Oreochromis niloticus: one gene and its partners. Each later gene encodes a partner of the first gene's protein in a complex. Links are inferred from orthologs where the notes say so. Each region holds a gene or a part of one and is shown on either strand. Other genes may lie near its edges.

Region 1 (7,985 bases):
CGTCAGCAGCTTCCTCTCTGCATCTCTGTCTAATGCTGCCCGACAGCATGACCCCCCTCTCCTCCCCCCACGTTAATGTTGTCATAAATTAGCTGCTGTGGCTCCATTAGCTTTCAGCTTCCTCCTGAGTGGCTCTTCATCAATCAGCAGCATCGGGACGCCGTTTTTAGCCGGAAACCGGAGGGACTCCTGGGAGCTGCCCACTGCACGATCACCTGCTCACCACACTCTCTGCAATTAGGCCAATTAAACTTTAACACGGAGCAGCTCTGCCATCTGAAATCACAAATCAGGCTGAGCGGCTGGAGGTAAAACACCGGCTCCGTGACGGCGACAGCAGAGACGTTTATCAACCTAGGTTGCTTAAACTTGATCTCTTCTTGATTTTTAATCACAGCTGAGCGAACGTGTCGGCTTCAGACGGCCGCAGGGACAAAACACGACATCCTCACAAGCCGCTGTGCTAAACACTGGACATATAAATGCTGGTGTTTGTGTGAAATGAGAGAAAAGATGCTGAAAGCTTCGGTAACAGGAAGTGAGCGTCTGAGAGAGTGTAAACACGATTAAAGATTCATTGAAAGAGAGCAGAGCTGAATCTTCAGAGCCGAGGATGCGGTTAGAGCTTCATCGCACAGACGTGAATCAGTGCAGGGTTACAGCACGAGAGGGGCTCACATTTCATCTGAACACGAGTAACGACTTTATCACATCAAAGACGCCAAGACAGCTCAGAGACAACCGAGAAGTCAGAGCAAATATTATTACATTTTTCCTCTTTTCGCTCTCAGGGTCCAAAGCTGCTGCCACACAGTGAAGCACCTGGACAGGTACATCTGTTTAGAACCACCACTGAACCGAACAACAAGCTGAAATCAAAGACGTCACGTGTGGCAAAACACCTGATGTGGGTTCTGACGTCTTCCTGCTCTTTCCTGTTTTCACGCCACTGCTCAGGTTCACCCAAAGTGACGCCAGTCCCTCTGAGGCTCGTTCACACCTGAATAAACACACTTCCTGTGTAAGAGAGTGATGTGCGTGACTGCACACCCCAAACGCTCTGATGCATCATCATTGCTCCTTGTTGTTGGTTTTATTGTTGTTATCACTCAAACTGATGTTTGTTTTTAATCAATAATCCTGAATATTGATGAATATTGACGCGTACAGAGACATTTCTGTCACAATAAAAAACATGGATCCTTCAATGCAACCGTCTGTTGGAAGAACTTTCACAGATTCATTTGCTATTTTTCTGTATCAGGAATAAGTTTGGTACCTTTGAGATTTTCTCACACTTCTTGGTTCGCTCGAGGTTTGTGCAGGTGAAGCAGCAGCGCCGCTGATCGATCGGCCGCTCTGACACAGGGGGAACGCTAACTGCCCGATCGATGCCTGATTGTTGTGTCAGCTCTGCAGCAGCAGACGGCCGATGATTGAAGACTCCCTCGATACCCAAACTGCAGCAAAGACTCAAACCGGCATTTCTCGCCTCCTCAGATGTACGACCGCCGGGTTTCTCTAACTGGAGTGTGACCACCGAGCTGCACCTTCGTTCTGGCCCTCGACCGGCTCAGGATTAAAGTCGGACCTGGTTCTGCTGGGCTCAGGAACATGAATGAAAACCACCAGCATGAACACGTGAAGATCAGCCTCGGCCACGCACAGGAACAAGATCCAGAAAGTCCGTCGCCTCCTCTGAGCCTGAGCCGGTTTCAGATTATATCCGGAGATCACAGATGTCTCTGGGCTGCAGAGGGGAGGGACGTCCCGCGTTTATCAGTGCTTACCTCATGGCACCGGAAACACGGGAATCCAACAGAAACATCTGGCAGCCATTACAAACATCTGGAGCTTCAAACAGTTGTGAGCACAGTGTGAAAATTTAACCCACTGTGGGGAAATAAAGAGACATTTTCAGTGTCCTGACTCACACACCTGAACGATTGTGGAAATCAGTCACCGAAGACGTTTCACCAAGAACCGAAGAGGAACCAGCAGTGCGGTAACATTTTAAAGCTGCTTTGGTCTCATTTAGTCAAAATCAACCCAGACCATCTGGAGCTTTCCCACAGACACCACGGAGGAGCAGCGTTTACACGAGCAGCCAGTTCAAACAGAAACCCTTTATTACATTTTCTATTAAACATGAAACTCTGTGAAAAGCAGGCTGGAACCTGCAGCTCTCAGAGTCCCGTTACTTTCTCAGGTGATTTATTGTTTGTTCCATGTGTTAAAAACTGGGAAAAGCTCCTGGAGGCTCCGTGAATCAGCTGACTCCTCAGGTCCTCCTGCCAACTTTAGCTTTGACTTTAAAATCCCCGTAATTACTTTTAGGGCCTGGCATAGCCTGACTGCAGCATTAATCAATGAGCTGCTGATCACACTTACTGCTGACAGCTTTATTGCTACAGCACCTTCTAACATTGAGCGAAATCTAAATGCTTTATATAAAACTAAATGAGCAGATATAAAATAAAGACGATGCTGAAATCCAGCCCGTTGTTTGTTTTTTAAAGCCGGTCCTCACTGCAGTTAAAGTACTAATACCACGAAAATACACCAACCAAAAGTAAAAGAGGAAATATCCGGTAAGAGTCAAGCTGAAGGAACGCAGTGGTCACTCAAACAACCACAGGATGCAGAAGAGCATCTCTGAGGCCACAGCAGCAGCAGCAGAAGACCACACCGCTGCTGCTCAGCTCAGCACAGGAAACTCAGGCTAACGTTCACACAGACTCACAAAGCTGGACCACAGAAGGTGGAAAAACACGTCCTGGTCTGATGAGCGTCGATTTGCATCTGCGTTCAGCTGCTGCAGGTGTGACCGTCTCAGCGCTCAGATCTCCTCACACAGGCTTCCTGAACGATCCGTTCGATGCACTCAGAGCAGGGACGGGAGATTCTCATCACGGATGCAGACGGAAAATCTGCAGCAGCTGTGTGCTGATGTCACATTGATGTCATAATCATGTGGACCAAAATCCCCGAACAGAACGTGTCAGAGCAGGTACAGCAGAGCTCTGCGTGGAACAGCACCTTTTCATTTCCTCCCTCCTGATGTGTACAGCGGTCGTATGTGAATATTAAACGAGTCACAAACAAACCTGAGAGCGTGACGTGGCTCAGTCCTGTCCACTTATGCTCCACACAAACACTCAAACAGATTCTGGGACTGACGCTGCTTCCTGTGAAAAACTCCTCAGAGAGTCTCCAGAGCTGCTCTGTATGTCTGACTGATCAGCAGAGCTCGTTAATATTCTCCCGACGCGACTCATTCAGATCATTGAGCCCGAAAACACAGAAACCCACTCAGACACAAGACGACGGCAACCGCAGCGCAGAAACGCTCCGCCGCCACATTCACCATCAGAATGAACACGGCAACACGTTTCTGCACGTCTCCTTTATTAGAGCTTCGTTTTACTGCGAGTCACAAACTGAGAGAAAAGGACGTGTGTGTGTGTGTGTGTGTGTGCGTGTGCGCGCCTGTGTCAGATGACCAACAGTCAGAGAGGCAGAGGCTGAGCGTCCATCAGCAGCCGCTGTGTCGCTACGTCCTCCGTACTCAGAAAGGACTTCATGTCACAGGACGGTGACCCTTTAACGTCTCAGCCAATCCGGGCTCTGATGGCGGGTGCAGAAGTCTAAGCAGATCTTTAAGGTGGTTTAGAGGAGGACTGCTCTGAAGTGCAGGCAGATATACGCAAGCAGCTGTTTGAAGAAGACACCTGATCTCAGCCCAGACTCTCTCAGACAAATATTAAGAGATATATGCAAAAAACCACGCAGCTATGTTATACCAGCAACTGACTAAAGATGTGCAGGAACCAAAGCCGCTCCTCATCAATAAGCCAAAAAGTCCCTGTTGCATCTGAGCGTGCTCAGTTTGGCCTGAAATACAGTACAGTGCAAAGGTTTTAGGCAGGTGTGAAAAAATGCTGTAAACAAAGAATGGTTTCAGAAATATAAATGATTGTTTATTGGCCCCAGATGTATTCTGCCTTTGGGGTCAACGACCCCAAACACAAAGCCAAAGTCATTAAGAACTATCTTCAGCATGAAGAAGAACAACAAGTACTGGAAGTGATGGTACGGCTCCCACAGAGCCCTGATCTCAACATCATGGAGTGTGTCTGGGATTACAAGAAGAGACAGAAGGATGTGAGGAAGCTGACATCCACAGAAGATCTTTGCTTAGTTCTCTGAGACGTTTGGAACAACCTACCAGCCGAGTTCCTTCAAAAACTGTGTGCAAGTGGACCTAGAAGAAGGCAAAGGGTGCTCACACCAAATACTGATTTCTCTTTTGTTTATTCACTGCATTTTGTTGATGGATGAGAATAAATGATAAATGAAAACTTTTATTTTGTTTACAGCATTTTTCTTCACCTCCCTAAAACCTTTGCACAGTGCTGTAGATTAAAGAGGTGGTGCTGCCAGTGCATCATGGCAGCTCTGTCACTGAGGACACACCTGCAGGGTGAGTAGCACTGATGAGTTACAGGATGCACACTGTCCACATCCATGAAAAAAGACAAATAAGACACATAAGACGAAAGAGTGCTGCCGTCTCAGACCAGCTAAAGAAATGTGTCATCACGTCACAAGACCCTAACAGTTCCAAAAACACCCCAAAGCTAAGCTTAGCCAGCAAGTCCACAAGGAGACCCGAGGCAATCATGCGGCGCTTACACAGCTGATGGATAAAAGACCAGGACTCCATCCCTGTGGGACGCTGGCATCGATCATGAAGGGGGCAAAAAGTACCAGAACCAACATCAGAACCTGAATGATGATGTCATACCCCACCAGCTGTAAGATGAGCTAAAGAACCTCATCCAGGACTCCCGACCTCCACCCTCGGTCTGAGGAGAAACCTGCTGTTGGTACTTGCCTGGTTTCAACAGCATCACGGTAGCTAACAGGCTCAGGTGTATTACAGTACTACTCACCTGGTTTGAAGTTCTGAAGACATTCTGGCTATGAGCTAATATTTTAGAGTGGATAGGGTAACGGGTTGTTTTCAGTCTGTTATGAAAGCCTGTGTGAAAGCTTCACTGTGGTTATGTCACACCGTGATCGTGACATGCAGCAGTGATAAACCTGCACGCCACTTTCAGGTGCGTCTGCTCGTCATCGCCATTAAATGATTAACGTTTTCATCACACGCGGTTATATTTCATCCTGATGGGTTTTATAGCCAGCACTCAACTTTAACTGGACAGCTTTGCTGCGAGGAATGTGGCACGCGTGCAGGGTATTTTCCCGGCGCTGTGCTTGTGTATATGTGTTTAATTCACCTGCCAGTAGGGGGCAGAATGAGGAGTCTGTGCTACATTAGCACCAGTTTTGCAGAAGCAGTGTGGAGCAGTGGGGGAAATCACTGCACCTGCAGCGTGCTCGGTTCGTCTATTTCATCTGGTGAAGTGTTTCTGCGACACTGCTGAGGTCTGCGGGGTGGAGCGCACTCAGCTGGAAGATTTCTTCCTGCTGCTCACATAAAGCAGGAAACGGAGGCTTTGGGCCGACTTTCTGCTGCTGTCTATGCTACGAGGGTCGCCGCAGCTTTAACCTCAGACTGTGAGCAGCTTGGAAGCAGCTGAAGCTTCCTTTATTACCTCCTTTAGTAAAGGATGCATCAGAGTTTCCTTTATGAAAGGAAAGGAGATGATGGCATCCCACAATTCACAGCAACGACCCATCAGACCTTAAAGGAAAACAAACAGGCCATCATGTGACTTACTGCTGAGTTTTCCACCCGATGACGGCCATCTTTGAGCGACCACAGGTGAGCTCTCATCGTGTTACTGTGTGCACACCGTCTGTACACAGCAACCAATGAGAGCACAGCAGGTATCTGAGAGGAGCTTTTTGTAGTCCATCCGCAGGACTTTGTAGTTTCACCGCAGCAGAGCCTGCAAGCCACAGCTGATTCTCAGAGTGCCGCAGTCCTCCTCTTCAAGTCCTCGTAAACAGTCCTTCACATCTTTACTTCCCTTCCACTGAGGTCAAGGAAATGTGATTAGAGAAGATGCAGGAGGTCATTTTTTCACTATTTAACCACAAATCAAGACTCATCTGCTTTCTGCAACAAGAACTGAAGCCGCTGAACGTTTGCACTGGTCTGTGGAAACTCAGGGAGGTTCAGTTGGTTCCTGCAAGCGTGAAGCACCATGCTTCACATTTAAATTCAGTCCAAATGGGTACAGGAGCCAGTCTGTGCACCACGGTGGATTTTAAACACAGCCCCATTTTCAGGCGCACAGACTAACAAAGTTTCCAACTTTTATGATATTTTCATTGGGTGAAAGTGTTTTGCAGTCAACAGCAGGACACTGCCACATGCCACACTTCCTCATTCAGCTGCTTGCTGTTTGTGGGTCTCTGCCTTCAGCTTTAGTATTTAAGAGCAAACAAGTTCAACACTTAACCTGCTTAAATTCTCGTGGAATAACGAGGGAACAGGCCTCGCTTGCTGATCAAAGTGCTCCTTCATCAACCGTCCAAGTACGTTTGGAGAACTGTGTATAAACCCTACACAGGAACAAAATAAGAAACACGTGTGTCCTGAGTGCAACACTAAAGCCTCTGACCGGTCCTCACCGTGTACCGCCACGAGGAGCCTTCACACACGTCACTGTCTGCATTGGTGCTCGTACTTGTGAAACAGCCTCAGGGCATCAAGGGTGGTGATTTGGGAAAGCCAAGTATCCCAGAATGCATTTCACACAAAACAGCAAGCAGCAGTGGCAACAGCAGCAAAGCTGGAACCTGGAGTAAACTTTCAGAATGCTACTGTTGTTGTGCCACAAAAGTCAGTTTTAAGATATTTTGGGGGAGAATTTAGTTGTTTAGGCTTCATATGTGTGGGACTCATCACAGGTTTGAGTCGACTGATCAAAATATTACCAAACTGAAAACTCCAGGGATGTTTTTTCACCCTTTTCTTGGACGTCTCTGCGTCTCTGGGTCTGACGCACATATTGCTGCATCTCGACCTGATCGCACACCTGAAGAATGTCCTGACATATTTTAAGCCGCACACTTTGTCATTGTTTGTCTCTTGTAAGCGTTGGAGAGACGATGACTCAGTAGTCATTCCTGTTATAGTTCTCTGAAGTGCGTCACCAGGGGCGTACGCATAGTTGGTCTCTGCAGATTGGTCAGGCAGGCGTGAAGACATCCACACCAATCATCAGCTCACCATCTCATGAAGAAATTTACATCACTAGCAGATTCGCAGACACGGAAAATGTCTTGACAAGCACACATCCACATGGTGGTCCTTCCATGAAGCTACACCATTAGTATGCATGAGCTGCCTCGTTGGGGACGACTTCCCCGTGTTATGGTGTCATTGGTGGGACCCAGTCTCATTGCCCCATCTAGGAAAGGGGCTCGTCAGTGAGAGCCTAGTTTTTGAGCCTTTACCCTCGTATGAGTCCTCCATCGCCACAGGCTTTCAGCACACTGGTGGAGGATTATGGATCGGAACACCAGCTGGTCAAATTGTCTCTAGTCTCCAAAATATTTAATTTGGTCAAAGTCCCAGCAAAGTCCTGACACTGAGGAACCCTGAGTTCTCAGTCTGATACTGGGAATGCAAATGTGTGATTCTTCATCGATAAGCATCATCTGTGGGACAAATAAGCTGATGTTTTGATCCAGCTTCCTGTTAGTAGGCTCTTTCATGCTTCGCCTAACCTGAGATTGTGAAGTTCCTCTGGTGGATGTAACAAGGAGTCAAAGAGCAAGTCAGCTGACACCGACTATAATGGACTGACAAAGCTCTGGATTTTAAACCCAAACCTGCGGTTCCTCTGACGTCCAGCAGAGGCAGCAGTGAGTCCACCTCACAGACGTTACAGCGAAGAGAACCTGTTTCCAGCCTGATACACAAACTGTTCGGTCTCTGTGGATCATTTCTGCTTCATAACACTTGTACGTTCCGGGAGTCTTTTAATAACGCAGCTGGATTAAAG
Region 2 (7,644 bases), on another chromosome or scaffold:
TTACGGCTATCGCAGGCAGGAGCCTCGCGGAGTGATACGTACTGTGCTTCAACATAATATTACCGTATTGTGTGTGTATAACCTCTTTTTAAGTTTTGTGGATATTATACATGGTTATGCTGAGGATATGTCGGCCAATTTCTACTGGAAATGGCTTTTGGTTAAACTGTCCGCAAGGAATTTGCAGTGTTACATTTTTATGTAACTTTAATGCACATAAAAAACAGCTGCTTGTTTAAGTGAAAATACATTGATGGGTTTCTTTTTGCACTAATAAAGTTGTGGAGTTGTAAAGTATTTTGTCTAGTGTCAATTATATCGTCAGTTATATCGTTATCGCAAATTTTCAAATGTATATCGTGATAAATATTTTTGGTCATATCGCCCTGCTCTATTTTGTAGTATACCTGACATCTTTGCCAACAGTCATGGCAGCAATGACCTTCTTCACTGCCTCTTTCCTCTTCTCCTTCTTCTCATTGTTCAGCTCTGCCTTCAGTTCAAAGATCTCCCCTGAAAGATGAATCAGATGAAGAGTTGAAAGCAGTGCTGTTTATATATACACTGCCATAAATTTCCAATCTCTAACATGCCCACATGAACAAAAAACAATTTCTCTTCCATACTCACCTTTTTTGTTTGTTGTGAAATATTTCGAGTCCGTCATGACTGTTGTCCTTTAGTTCTGTAAAAAATAAATAGATAAATACATTTAAAAAATATTACATAATCATTCAGTGAGGCTTTAATATACAATAACAGTCTGTAGTACCTCTTCTTCCCTGATCTGCCATATGACTAAGTGATGTGGTGACAAGCCACAAAGTAGTTCAATGAGATTCAGTCATCAGGTTTGCCTCCAACATAGTACACTGTAACAGTCAGTAATAAATCTAAAAATTTTACAGGTTTCTTCTATGACAGACCAACCTGATGTGTTTAGTTTCTAAATGAATGTATGAATAACTGCTTTACAAATACACAAGGTTACACTACAAGTATGGAGAACACCCCTTTCAATAAATAACTGAGCAAAATCCATACAGCAGTAAAGTGGCTTCATGACACTGGTTTGCATGGTGATGTGGAAATGAAAGCCTAAGAGCCCCAAGCAAAATGCCAAATATTAGCTGGAGTGGTGTTAAACACAACCAGTGGACTACAGAGCACTGTAATCTTATAGTCTGGATTCATTAATTAGGCTTTATTTTCAGGCATTGTAATGGAGGATCCTGGGTTTGGCAGAGGTTAGGAGAACCATTTATGTCTGAATTATACACTCCCTACTGTTTTACAGAGTATATGAAGTTCTAGTAAACTCTGAAATAGGCAACTTAATTTTATCATAATGCACCACACTAGGGAAGCACCAAATGCAATTTTATTATGTTTAATTTGTTTTTGTTATTATTCATTCCCCTTTCTTCTTCTTTCAGATGATTCCTTTAGGGGTCACCACAAAGGATCATCTGCCATCCCATCCCTAGCATCCTCCTCTGTCACACCAGCCCTCCTTCGCTAAATGCATGGATTTTATTTTTTGTATTTTCTTTGCAGTCTTCCTCTTTTCCTCCTGTCTGGTAGTTCCATATTCAACATTCTTTGTCTGGTATATCCACTATCCCTCCTCTGCACATGTCCAAACCACCTAAGCCTTGCCTCTGTAACCTTGTCTCCAAACTACTCAACCTGTGCTGTCCCTCTGTACTTATTTCTAAACCTGACCAGTGTGGTCCGAGCATATTGTGCTGTGACAGCTCCAGCTTGGCCTTCCATCTTTTTGTCAGTTCCACTAGAGCATATCTCTGCCTCTCCAGGCTCTCTTTCACCTACTCCCTTGCTTCAAGCTCAACTGCAATTTGAAATATAGTCAAGCAAAATGCCTTCTGGAGAAAGGTTTTATGGTCAGATGAGACAAAGATTGAGCTATTTGACCACAGTGACAAGAGATATGTTTGGAGGAATAATGGTACGCCTTTCAAATCTAAGAACAGAGTGCCAGCTGTCAAGCACGGTGGCGGTAGATATATTTACCAATTCTGACGAGAAGAGCGGTCAAATGATCAGCAAGAATTATGGCTGAAGCTTGTTGATCGCTACCAAAAGCATCTGGGGAAGATGCAACTTACTAAGGGACACTTAACCAAATATTAATGGGGGTTTATGTATATATTTGAATCTGTGTGGATGAGAGAAAATCCAACATAATTTCAAATTTTTGCAGTTATTAATGATGTAAGCTCTGCAATCATGCAAACCTGGAAAAGAATTCAAAGTTCAGAGCAATCATTAAAAGCACAAACATATGATATCGATGTCCATAATGACTGTATGTAAACCTGTGACCACACATTTGTGTATCTGTACAGCCCTAGCTAAAACATGCTATTACATTGAAGAAAACGTACTTAGGGTTACATGTTAAAGAATTAAACCTTTACTTTAGCCGGCATTAGCCATTTTCTTCATCTGTATGGTGAAGAAGAACCTACTCTAATCTAACTGTGACATTAACTGCTCTGTGTTTCTGGGTGTGACGACGTTTGACCTCTCAACAAACATCAGGTTAGCTTTAATTAACCGGGAGGCACAGCACTTCCACTTAGCTAGCGTTAGCTAGATGCTAAATACATCCGCTCCCTACTGCGATACCACAAATATTAACAACAAACTCCAAACACAGACAACTTCTAACATCAACCTGGGTTTACAGTCCGATATGACAAGATTGCGTTATGTTAAATCTGGAGTCAAAATAGAAACGTGAGCAGCGGCCCAGTTTCCAGGAGCTGCCTTTACGGTAGCTAAACGATGAGCAGCCCTGCAAAAATACAGTCGATACAAAATCACAACACAATGACAGCAAGGTTAAAAGAAGGTCCTGTACTGTATAATATCGCCCATACCTTGCTGAGTATACGTGAGAAGAGAAAAATATTCCACTGGGTGTCAGACGCAGGCTGCTCCTTCGTCTGTTTGGAGGAAGATGGAGAACCAGGATAACGATGGTGCATTCACACTCATCGGAAACTGGACAACTTCCCTTCTGAGGTAAAGAATACCAGGATGCGTTGTTGCAGCGAACACATTTCGTTGATTTTATAACGGCTGTTAGTAGATGTTTGTATAGTTAAGATCTGCGAATATAAATGATGTATTATATAAAATGTATATGCAGATCCAGGAAACCACAACCGGCAATGACATCACACGGTTTCGAGGTCATGTGGACAAATCGGTCTGCAGGGTTTATATTTTCTTTGTAATTGGATTCACAAGCAAATATAAATCAGTGCAAACTTTTGTATTTAAAGGGGAAAATTACATTACATAATAAATGACTCCATATGACGCCACGGTTTCCTATTATCATGAATGCAACACTGGAGGGAATTCTTGGTAGGGACCTCGCCGTGTCCTCACAGCCAGGAAAAGAATTCCATAATATCAGCGTTTCACCTTCACTGTACAGTCCTGCCTTTTTCAAAGCAGTTTCAAGTCAGGGGCTGCAAAGTACTCCCCTGGGTCTGAACGCAGCCCAAGAGTTGGAAAAAGGAAGGATACTCATGTTGATGTGAAATATGTTCAGTGCCTCAGGCATGAAGGAACATGTTGAATCAGACGGGTACATTTTTGTTATGTTCAAGTCCTTGAAACATGGAATTCTTGCAAAACACAGACTCTGTTAGGTACCATGTATCCGATGGTCCAACAAATCAGACGCGGTGTATATGATCCCTTCGATAGCTCAGTTGGTAGAGCGGAGGACAGAAATTCTTGGGTCACTGGTTCAATTCTGGCTCCAAAACGATTTTACAATTCAACTATCTCAAGCACATGTGTCGAACTCCAGACTTGGAGGGCCGCTATCCTATTGAATGTAAGTCATCTATTAAGATGCTGAACTGCACTAAGCAAAACCTGTGCTTCAGTGGAAAGGACCAAAGTGATTCATAGAGCATGGAAACTTTGTAACCCCCCCCCCCCAGCATTTTTAGCCCTCAAACTACAGAAGAAAACCCACACAAAAACAATATTTTCTCAATCTGAAAAGACAAGCGCCCCCCCAAAAAAAGATTTAAAAAAATACTTTTACATACAATCTAGACTGTGTGAACAGCTTTAAACTACTGTATGAATGCCCCTAAATATCATATACCAAATATAAAATATAGTGCATGAAGAAAAAAGATTTAGATTTTTTTAAGTATTTAAAGATAATTGTAATAGTTGATATAAAATGTTTATATTACAACAAATATGACAACTACATTGATATTTGAAGTAACCAATAGAAAATATAAAACCAAACTTTCAAAACATTACTTTATATTCACAAGGTTTTAAAAGCCTCAGTTAACGCCAACAATCGGACCGTTTATTGAAATCAAATATAAACCGTGACTATAAAAAAAAATGCATTGCCAGGTACAACCATACATAGCAGGTATAATGGCTCTGCTATCTATTAATTACCAGCTTCACTCATATTGTAACTTCATTAGTACACCATCCACTATGTTAGCCATAAATACAACAATTAAAACATTGAGACATGATTTTCCTCTTTGTGAGAAAAATTCACTTATATCACAGCCAGTGATAATCTATAATCTAAACTTCAAAAAAAACAGTAACAGCCTCACTCCATTTTTCAGACTTAAGCAGAGGATTCGATTTGTAGCTGGGATGCGCTGCTGATCAGGTCTTGTGGAAGACTTTTTCGGGCTTCTTGCATCTTTTTCCTGGCCCTCTGAAAGGCCTCTGCAAAAGGAAGAAAGTACCAGTCGAATACTACACACATACAGAGAAGGCTTACATAGCAATTTATAACAAATACACACAGAAATAACAAAGGAAAAAAAAGGTTAACTGTTTTCTTGATTTTACATATTACTGGTATGAAATAATACGCTAATGTTAGTCCACATTTTTTAGCTCAGAAAACAAACCAAGCTATAACCAATCGATCCATATCTCACATATGTCAGACTGAAGTGCTGAAAGAAACTTGTATCTCAGTGAGTCGATTTCCCACAGGGTTTAGCTTTCAAACTTATCCATAGCCTAAGCTCAGTGGGTCCTGAAAATCCAGACTTCTTACCCAGGATGGTGCAAACAGCTCCTTGCTGACTAAATCCTCCCAGCTGGTCAAAAACTCTCTGCCTCCTCTTCTTCAGCATGGCAGTATCAACAAAGGCCCTGCACATGAAATTAAAACATTTCCTGTTATCACTGATTATCATCTGAATGCAAACAAACCGAGGTTTGGGGCGATCGTGGCTCAAGAGTTGGGAGTTCGCCTTGTAATCGGAAGGTTACCGGTTCGAGCCCCGGCTCGGACAGTCTCGGTCGTTGTGTCCTTGGGCAAGACACTTCACCCATTGCCTACTGGTGGTGGTCAGAGGGCCTGGTGGCGCCAGTGTCCGGCAGCCTCGCCTCTGTCAGTGCGCCCCAGGGTGGCTGTGGCTACAACGTAGCTTGCCATCACCAGTGTGTGAATGTGTGTGTGAATGGGTGGATGACTGGATATGTAAAGCGCTTTGGGGTCCTTAGGGACTAGAAAAGCGCTGTATAAATACAGGCCATTTACCATTATATTATATTATATTTGCAACACCTGCATTAACATAGAAATAAAATTACAGTGTATTGTGGGACTGTGAAATAGGAGACAGTTGTGAAGTTGTAGATTTGCTGCTGTGTTGAAACAAATAAAGTCTAGCCACCAAAGAAATGTGATTAATCTATAACAATGCAGATAATGTAGAGCTTACCAACCATACAGGGAGTGCAGAATTATTAGGCAAGTTGTATTTTTGAGGAATAATTTTATTATTGAACAACAACCATGTTCTCAATGAACCCAAAAAACTCATTAATATCAAAGCTGAATGTTTTTGGAAGTAGTTTTTAGTTTGTTGTTAGTTTTAGCTATTTTAGGGGGATATCTGTGTGTGCAGGTGACTATTACTGTGCAGAATTATTAGGCAACTTAACAAAAAACAAATATATACCCATTTCAATTATTTATTTTTACCAGTGAAACCAATATAACATCTCCACATTCACAAATATACATTTCTGACATTCAAAAACAAAACAAAAACAAATCAGCGACCAATATAGCCACCTTTCTTTGCAAGGACACTCAAAAGCCTGCCATCCATGGATTCTGTCAGTGTTTTGATCTGTTCACCATCAACATTGCGTGCAGCAGCAACCACAGCCTCCCAGACACTGTTCAGAGAGGTGTACTGTTTTCCCTCCTTGTAAATCTCACATTTGATGATGGACCACAGGTTCTCAATGGGGTTCAGATCAGGTGAACAAGGAGGCCATGTCATTAGTTTTTCTTCTTTTATACCCTTTCTTGCCAGCCACGCTGTGGAGTACTTGGACGCGTGTGATGGAGCATTGTCCTGCATGAAAATCATGTTTTTCTTGAAGGATGCAGACTTCTTCCTGTACCACTGCTTGAAGAAGGTGTCTTCCAGAAACTGGCAGTAGGACTGGGAGTTGAGCCTGACTCCATCCTCAACCCGAAAAGGCCCCACAAGCTCATCTTTGATGATACCAGCCCAAACCAGTACTCCACCTCCACCTTGCTGGCGTCTGAGTCGGACTGGAGCTCTCTGCCCTTTACCAATCCAGCCACGGGCCCATCCATCTGGCCCATCAAGACTCACTCTCATTTCATCAGTCCATAAAACCTTAGAAAAATCAGTCTTGAGATATTTCTTGGCCCAGTCTTGACGTTTCAGCTTGTGTGTCTTGTTCAGTGGTGGTCGTCTTTCAGCCTTTCTTACCTTGGCCATGTCTCTGAGTATTGCACACCTTGTGCTTTTGGGCACTCCAGTGATGTTGCAGCTCTGAAATATGGCCAAACTGGTGGCAAGTGGCATCTTGGCAGCTGCACGCTTGACTTTTCTCAGTTCATGGGCAGTTATTTTGCGCCTTGGTTTTTCCACACGCTTCTTGCGACCCTGTTGACTATTTTGAATGAAACGCTTGATTGTTCGATGATCACGCTTCAGAAGCTTTGCAATTTTAAGACTGCTGCATCCCTCTGCAAGATATCTCACTATTTTGGACTTTTCTGAGCCTGTCAAGTCCTTCTTTTGACCCATTTTGCCAAAGGAAAGGAAGTTGCCTAATAATTATGCACACCTGATATAGGGTGTTGATGTCATTAGACCACACCCCTTCTCATTACAGAGATGCACATCACCTAATATGCTTAATTGGTAGTAGGCTTTCGAGCCTATACAGCTTGGAGTAAGACAACATGCATGAAGAGGATGATGTGGACAAAATACTCATTTGCCTAATAATTCTGCACTCCCTGTATAAGTACTATATATCTCTATTAAATGTTGGGTACAATACTTAAAAAGTTTATTACTTGTCATAAAAACAAGAAAACAAATATTTTAGAAATCTGTCAAACAGCTGTTTAAAACTAAAAATCAAATTCCTTTTTATTAGACTGGAATTCGTGTTTTCATTTCATTCATAATAATAATAATAATAATAATAATAACAACAATAATAGTGTGCTTTACTATTTTCAAAATATTATTTCGATTAAATAGCTCACATAAATTTTGGTGGTTAACCATTACAAAACATTAGAAAAGATTG
Region 3 (7,949 bases), on another chromosome or scaffold:
TCACACTGTTCTGCAATCTAAATATTTTGGTCAACACTAAGAGCTCATGACCAGAGGTGAGGTTTTTGACTTCCAGCTGAGCTCCCACTTCATCACAAGAGTCCTTTTGTTGCCTGGAGTGAACAATACACCCTGCTCCAGCAGGAAACCACTGCCTCAGACTTGGAGGTGCTAACTCTCATGAAACTCAACTTCAAACAGTCCCAAATGGGAAGTGAAGCCTGTGATCTAACAAAACTAAAAGAAGCATATCAACTGCAAAAAGCAGAGGCTGGACTGGACACACTTATCATCCCAACTTTGCCTTGAAATTCTGTTCATAAATCTATGCGTATATGAAATATGAATGAAAATAGGATCTCAACAAGGGGTCCTCATACTCCATTATAGTGTTGAACCCAGTGTACAATTACTTAGGGGACATGGCCATAAGCCAACTCAAATCCATAAAACCGTTTAGATTGGAAATGATTCATATTGCCCCTCCAAGTGACAGCCTCCTTTTCAGCACCCTGGAATAAAGTTTTTTGGGGGAGGCTGAACAGTACGATACTCTGTTAGTAAACCCTCAGTCCACTAACCGTTTCTACACAGATACCATCCCCAGCCTCCATGTGACACTGAAAAGGTGTGGCAGTATGTAGGGATGTAGTGATTCCAATCCCATTATCAATATCACTTATCAGTTCTCTTATCTATCCTCATTGGGTTCTCTTTGGTTCTGCTTTGAGAGTCACCACCATCGCTAAACAACATATCAAAGACATTACATTTGTGCAAATTAACTGCATGCTGTGTGGTCAATTGTTTGTGCACGTTGTGTGCACAAATATACTTTTCTTAAAAGTACTGCAGTATGTTACTCCCCTTAGAAAGAAATTTGTTACACTACTCTTCACAGTACTTCCACATGAAATGCTCATAGTTACCATTTCTCAATATAAACCTATTGGCTATAGTCCCACAGACCAACACAAATCCCTATCCTAATGAGGACACTCTTAGTATTTATGTATGAACACCAGAAACAGCAAGTATGGAAACCAACACAGAAACTTCAGAGCGATTCTACATTATAAACATGAACAGGTGGAAACAGAGGCTGCAACCTGACTGCTCATCACTGCTTTTGTTACCTGTTGAAGTTCAGGATCTGCCTGCAGGGCTGGGTTCTGCATTCATTCAGCTTCAACATCACTCTGGGTCCTTCGCTGGCTTAGCATTAGCATGCAATCTGTGCAAGTGCTTGCAATGAGCGAAAGTTGATAATGCAGTTGTTTCTGTCCTGGATACAGTTTCTACTTCACTATCACACTCTTGTCTTTTTGTGCAGTAAAAATAAAAAATAAAATCCACACTGTAGACTGCGCCACTAATTTCCTCCCCTGCACACAAACTGAAATCGGCTGATTGTAGCGCAAGTTCAGCTGATAAGTGGAAGTGATAGGCAAGCAGACTAAAAATTACAAGCGATTGAACTAACAAGAACCAGTTCTCTGGAAAAAAGCTAGTTCTTGGTTCCATCCCCAATTATATCGATCACCATGGATGCCAGGATGGGCTCTGGGGTAGCTTGAACTGTAAAGCTAACAACCAGCAAACAGGGGGACCTTGGTATTTTAATAGCATTAGAAAGCAATAAACCATAAAACACAATGAGAAAAACAGTGGGAAAAAGAAACACAGACTAGAATTCTTGTTTTTGCTCTTCACTCTTTTTTCTCTATTTGAAATTTACATATTTGCATAGCAGCAAATAATGTTTAGATGTAAAACTTGGCAGACTGAGGCTGTGCCAGGTGAGTCACTGTTCAGTGACAAAGTATTCAGTACAAAGTTTTTTTTGCGTTTATGTGTGTATGGAGGGGGGGTGACTGATGAGCAGACGAACATGAGACAGGTCAGTGCACGTCCTGTGAAGTGTTTTTGGCCCACAGTCTGTTGGCCATGCCTCTGTAACCAGGATAATTAGAGCCCAACCCCCTGTTAGGAGCCATAAACAGCCAAAAACAACATTAACCATTTGATACACAATCCCAAACTCACACATTATTATCTATTCATCTAAAACAAATTTAGGGCAAATTTGATATGCATCTTAATTTCCAAATATGAACATTGTTTTCGAATGCCAGCTACACACTGGCAGACTTGTGTGGAGTAGCGACTGTGACAGCATCTAGTCTGAACAGACCATTCCAGTGTTTTGAGCCTTAGCAAGAGAAGACAATGTTATCAAGGAAGTATTCAAACCAAACAAAAAAACCTGGGTTACAGGGTTTTGGTTGTTTTTTGTAATGCATGTTTACAAAAAATGTGAACTACAGTCATGTGTAAAAGAATGTCTACATTTTTAGGGTTTTATATATGAGAACTTAGCAGGTTCTAAAATTGCAACATCAGGTACAGACCACCTCAGATGAACAAAATCATGTAATTATTTATTAAAAAAATTTAAGCCAAAATGTGTAAGTGTGTAATGTGTGAAAAACTAAGTTGCATATCTATCTGGGAACTGTTATGAGGCAATCGCCAAAGAAATTGAACTCCATCATTCTACAGTAACAGAGATTATTTACTTTTTCTTATTATTATATTGTTCATTTATTATTATTCACAATAATCCATGTTTTTCAAGCAGAAAACATTTTAGACAGCTGCCAATCTTCCCGGGAGTGGACATCGCAGCATGTTAAATGATACAGTCAGTACTTGTACAGTTAGCCTTGTTTGAAGCCTCTTCTCTCTACAAAGAACATGGCAACATGCTTAAGTTTGCAGCAACACATCTGAATAAACAGACACACTTAACAACACTAACCATAAGACTCAATTTAAAAAATATACTTTTTTAATGTCAGACAGAAATTTCCCTAATAGCCTCGAGCTTTAAGTTTTTAGGAGTTCTTTTGTCCACTTGGCAACATCACAAGTGACCACACTGACCAAAGCAAATGTACGCTTGTGTTTATAACTAGCCCGGTTGTCTGACCAACACTGGGCACACTTCTAAGCACACTCGCTCCTCTGTGTGAAGCTCCATCCATCACGAGGCCAAGACAGGACAGAAGACCATGGGAAATGAAGCATGGTTAATTCTGTTAGCGCATGGACACAAACAATCTGTGGGGAATCAAAGAAGAAGGAAACATAATCCCAGCGGAACCATTTCCTGCTGCATGAGCTGGAGCAATTCACCATGATAAGGCAAAACGTTAAATTCCTCTACAAATACACATGACAGTATGAGGTAGTTTCATACAGTGACGTTCAGGATGTCCACATTTGCCATCTATCTCATTCATTTCTCTCTCTCTCTCTCTCTCTGTTGCTCTCTTCCTCTCTCGATTTCTTTCTTTCTTTCTTTTTTCTTTCTTTCTTTCTTTCTTTTTGACTCTGCTGTCTGTGGGGAAAGGCCTGCCACAAAGCTCTCAAGCTGAGTGACCCTTATGGGACAAAGCTGGCTTTCTAGGCTTTTTGCATATATGCATGCCATCCAGACAATGAGGCCTTTATTAGAGTAGCCAGCATCTCCGAGCTGGAACGGCAGGGATGAGGAATGGAAGTCCGAGAAAGCTGTGACTGACACTGGGCACAAGTGAGAGTGTGTGCATTTCCCACCTCTTTCCCATGCATGTGTGTTTCACAGAGGTGTGAAGTGGATGCTCTTACCCTTTCTTCTTCAGTTAACTAAGAAATCTTTTCTCATCCAAAGCTGAATCTCAGAGTTTTCTGATGCCAGGTAACATCATGCATTGCATGTATGGAAAAATGTCCAAGCTAGTTAGAAACTTCCCTGTCATAAATCTCCATATAAAACAGGCAAAACAACATGCTGTGGCCTTTAGCTGCAATCACAAACAGCTCTGAGCAAGCCCTCAGACAGGCTATCTCTATGCACTTGACTAACTTTACAATACAAAAATCAAGCCTTAGTCGAATGAGTGCCTGTGTTCGAGTGTGTGTGTGTGTGTGCATTGTACTACGTATTTCTGTGTGTATTGGTGTTGAGTAGAGAAAGAGGACGCTGTGTGACTCAATCATGCGTGAAGAGTATTTTCTGTTCAATAGGGGCTGCACACTTGCATACTTGCATTCTAATGACTCCATATGCATAATCGTACTAGTACAGATACTCAGATGCGTACGTGTGTACACATAAACACACACCTATACCGACGCACACACTACTGAATGCCACCTTCTGTTGTTCTCCTGATGGGAAATACACAGGTAAGAGAGACTGACACCTAACTTGTGAAAAATATCATGCATCCTGTTAGTGTGACGCATGATGTAAACTTCTAGTCACATCTCCAGGGTTGGATGCCCTTCTCTTCTAATATGCCTGAGCTATCTGAAGCATGGGCTGCATGTTTAGTGCTGTTCTTCATGCTGACAAAATTGACTGTAATAATGTGTTTTAAACATTAATAGAGTCTGCATAAAATTTAAAAAAGGGGTAAGGATTTTTATCTATACACCACTGCTTATGTGTTTTGAGCCGGGCTACAAGGACAGATGAATGCGAACAAATTCTGTGTCACTCTGCACCTTTACACACATAAAACATCTATTTTGGAGCAGCACACACACACACACACCTCTCTTCTCACTCTCTCACTCTCTGTCTTCACTCACTGAAGCTGGAGTTGTTGTTCTGAGTGGTAAACATGTGCTAAAGGGGGGGGTGAGTGGCTAAGTTTTCTTTTTATCCAATAAAAATGTCTCCTTGCCAGATCGATTGTTGTTGCTAGGAGACTGAAGCATCCTTTGGCAAGGGGCTTCAGCTCTGCTCGTCTGTTGTTTCACTCTCTCTCCCTCTCTCTCTCCCTCTCTCACTTACTCTCTCTTCTCTCGTGCACGCGCGCTCACGGGCACACACACACACACACACACACACACACAGCCACGGAGCTGGCGCGCAGAGCAGTGGCGCCCATCCTCTCTCTCAGTGCGACTCCTCCGAGGGATCAGGAGTAGACTAAGTCAAACTTCCAGCAGCTTGAGATTTGTGCGCAACCTTTCAAGGATCGAAGCCGTCAAGGTAGGTCAAATCTCACACATTCCTGACTGGTAGGCAGTGGTTGTCAGAGTGCAGTGAAAGAATTGACAGTCCGGGAGCGTTCAAGCGCGCGTCAGCCAATCCTACTGTAGGGAGCAATTTGCTTTGAACTTTGCGCAGGATTTAAAAAGCCAGTTGTACTGCATAAACGTGCTTGTTGTTTCCTTTCAGTCACGTTCAGTAATTGTGGGTTGTGTCAGCGGGGGAAAAATGGTTGCTAATCTCTGCAGCAGATGCACGATAAAGATACAGAAGGTGAAACAAAGACTATCTGCAGTTGCGTATTTCACTCCGCGCGGAGAAGTTATTTGGGTTCAGACAAACCGCACTGAGGCATGTCCCTCGGCTTTAGGCTTCCCAGGGAAGGATGGGCGGGTAGTCTTTGAAAAGAGGCATACAGGTGGATCCGATATCTGGATCTGGTTATTGTTTATCAGTGTTACTTTCCGTTTGCATCTAAGGATCCACTTCACACCTTGCGCTAGAGGAAAGGCAAGTGGACCTGCACTAAAGGTAGAACCAACAAAATGGGAATGTCCACATTAGTTGCTGTCTATGAGCTATACTGGCTTTAACTAGCAATCTTATATTTCTCACTAACAAGCAGAGGGGTAAAACAACTTAGTGGATAACTGGATAAACATATTGATTCATATAGCCAAACCCACATGTTATTACTGGCCATTTCTTTTTAATCTTCTGCACTCTACTAGAAAAACAACTGCAAATTACAGTTTTATAAACAGTGAAAAATCATGGCCCGTGTCCGAATTCATGTAGAGCAGGTGCGTTTTTATAAGCCCCAAGAGAGAGGTTGTAATTAGCTTTAATATATTAGGGGTCTATAATGTGCTGTCTTTTAAAAATAAACATAAAAACAAAAATACTGCATTTTAGGTGTGTGTATTTTTCGTGTTTAATTCTTACTGGTGTACCCATTCAGGTGCATTTTGGACACACTTCAGAAAAGATATCATTCCTGCCCCACACCACCCATGCTGAAGCATGCATCAATGTGTTGATTAGTCAGTGAAAGACTTTTGGTTACTCTTAATCAATTTTAACCAAAATTGTCATATTTTACTAAAATGATATGCAGCAGATAAGGATAAAATAATGTTTATGTTATAATGGAGTTACAGTATTGAAGTGGGAACTACTAGATGATATAGAATTTTACCAAACCATGATCAAATGTCTATTTGTGATAATCGTATACTGTGTTTTTTAACTGTATTAGAATTGCAATATCCAAATGATAAGGTTACTAAATAAAGAGCAATGAGAATTTTTAAATTAACTTTGTTGCTCAGTTAGATACGAGTGTATTTCCTCCACGTGAACATGTTATCATTGCTTGTGTAAAATGACAGCTACATGCTTTTTCAGAATAATATATATGAATATAAAATATTCATGTTTCTATGATTATGGATTTTTATGTATATTGTAAAAATGTAATATTTGATTAACTAGGCTGAGATGTCCTTATTGATATAAAGCAACATCTCTGAGTGTAAATTCTTTGTGAAACTTGTTGCATAACTAAGTTTAATTTCACAATTGTACAGAGAGTTCGCACATCAATAACTCTCTCAGCATGTGCGTGCGAGGATGACAACTATAGGTGGGGATGTAGTGACATGTTAAGACTTTAACTTATGTTTACATGCTTATGTGTAAATGTATTTATGTGCGTTCTTCTGTGTCAGGAGATGTTAATCTGTGGGTAAGGCAGCTGAAAATTTCTCCTGCTGAATGGATGTATTTTGTTATCAAATGTGCTTACAAGCTTCTGATTGTGATTTTGATTTGTTTGTATGTACTATATATGTAGAAATGGTCATGTATATTCCACACACTACACCTAACTGAACTGGATGTACTACAGAACCTCATCATTAGCTGCTGTAGAGCAGTGCACAGTGTGTGTATGTGCATGCTTGTGTTGTAACATAGATTCTGACTTTAGAAGAAATGCTGACCACTACATATTATGGGATGATGTTTTCTGTGATGCGATGACAAGTTGACTTTATTAGTTTATATATTTTTCTTATAAATCAGACGTATTAGCCAAAGTCCTTTTTCTATAGCCATAAATGAGAGATTATGATGAGAATTTATGTTGTAGTCAGTTCTTTGAGCTTTTATAGGACATTTAAAAAGTTTTATTATTCATGGGGCACAGTGGCAGTTAATAGCAGTTAAGTCCAAAAGCAACTTGTGTAGAAGAAATATAACAAAGTACCCATAGAAATTTTTAGAACGCCACCTATATCATGACCTCTTTTCTGCAGCTATAGCCATACGTGCTGTGAGGAGCTCTAACATCCTGAAATGCACCTGCTCAACAGCTTGACAGGATTGTGCGTGACAGCTGAGACGGAGGTGTGTTTAATCATAAGTTGGTGACTATATGTTACCAATGGCAGGATGTACATTAACTGCTGAGAAAAAAAGGAGAGAGGAAAAGGGGAATTTTGCTGCAAGAGTGTTTTTTAAGACATTATATATTTTTGTTATATTCAATTAAAAGTCACCCACTGCTAACAAGGAACAAACTTTTTTTTTTTTTTTACAGAAACCTCTAATAGGAGGTGATTTCAGGACATTTGAATTATTTTGGATGAAGTATTTGTATTTCATCTGACGAGAATATACTGGAACCATAACACAGGCATCAGGAAAGCTTGAATTTGGGATGTTGGTATTTTACTAAATCTTATCAAGGCATACAGTACATATTGAACAGAACATCTGTTAAGCGGTGGCTTTGGGACTGTGGGATTTTAGAAAGCAATATGGATATTCCATGTAGTGTTATTTATTTCTTTATTTATCTGTGTGACTAATGTCCTAGCCAATTAAAAGCGGAACATAA

What was found.
Region 2: the proteins of arrb1 (region 1) and ap2b1 are in contact, whole or in part, in a crystal structure (PDB 2IV8), measured with the Homo sapiens proteins. The link is inferred for Oreochromis niloticus from reciprocal best matches to the Homo sapiens genes ARRB1 and AP2B1. Residues at the interface, in NP_004032.2 of Homo sapiens: Asp384, Asp385, Val387, Phe388, Glu389, Phe391, Ala392, Arg393, Arg395, Leu396; in NP_001273.1 of Homo sapiens: Arg834, Gln835, Phe837, Leu838, Trp841, Lys842, Asn846, Glu849, Ile876, Ala877, Arg879, Val881, Glu882, Gln884, Tyr888, Glu902, Arg904.
Region 3: the proteins of arrb1 (region 1) and grm3 are in contact, whole or in part, in a cryo-EM structure (PDB 9II2), measured with the Homo sapiens proteins. The link is inferred for Oreochromis niloticus from reciprocal best matches to the Homo sapiens genes ARRB1 and GRM3. Residues at the interface, in NP_004032.2 of Homo sapiens: Gly5, Thr6, Arg7, Val8, Phe9, Lys10, Lys11, Ala12, Ser13, Pro14, Tyr21, Arg25, Arg65, Glu66, Asp67, Leu71, Gly72, Leu73, Thr74, Phe75, Arg76, Lys77, Arg103, Leu104, Lys107, Pro133, Arg236, Phe244, Asn245, Thr246; in NP_000831.2 of Homo sapiens: Pro605, Lys608, Ala609, Ile669, Phe670, Asp671, Gly672, Val673, Lys674, Asn675, Ala677, Gln678, Arg679, Lys681, Phe682, Ser684, Cys761, Pro762, Glu763, Phe765, Val834, Val835, Thr836, His837, Gln855, Ser856, Ser857, Ala858, Ser859, Thr860.

What each region holds. Positions count from the first base shown.
Region 1 is NC_031979.2:38,769,067-38,777,051, reverse strand, and holds the start of arrb1 (beta-arrestin-1), read right to left. Parts: upstream 3,063-7,985; 5' UTR 2,803-3,062; coding exon 2,744-2,802; intron 1-2,743. UniProt on the Homo sapiens protein: Functions in regulating agonist-mediated G-protein coupled receptor (GPCR) signaling by mediating both receptor desensitization and resensitization processes.
Region 2 is NC_031975.2:24,344,344-24,351,987, reverse strand, and holds the start of ap2b1 (AP-2 complex subunit beta), read right to left. Parts: upstream 3,062-7,644; 5' UTR 2,907-3,061; intron 686-2,906; 5' UTR 668-685; coding exon 631-667; intron 514-630; coding exon 408-513; intron 1-407. Other genes in the region: tectonic-like complex member MKS1, read right to left, coding at 4,661-4,764, 5,105-5,202. UniProt on the Homo sapiens protein: Component of the adaptor protein complex 2 (AP-2). Adaptor protein complexes function in protein transport via transport vesicles in different membrane traffic pathways.
Region 3 is NC_031972.2:54,846,776-54,854,724, reverse strand, and holds the start of grm3 (metabotropic glutamate receptor 3), read left to right. Parts: upstream 1-4,888; 5' UTR 4,889-5,047; intron 5,048-5,384; exon of another isoform or gene 5,385-5,578; intron 5,579-7,365; 5' UTR 7,366-7,456; intron 7,457-7,949. UniProt on the Homo sapiens protein: G-protein coupled receptor for glutamate. Ligand binding causes a conformation change that triggers signaling via guanine nucleotide-binding proteins (G proteins) and modulates the activity of down-stream effectors.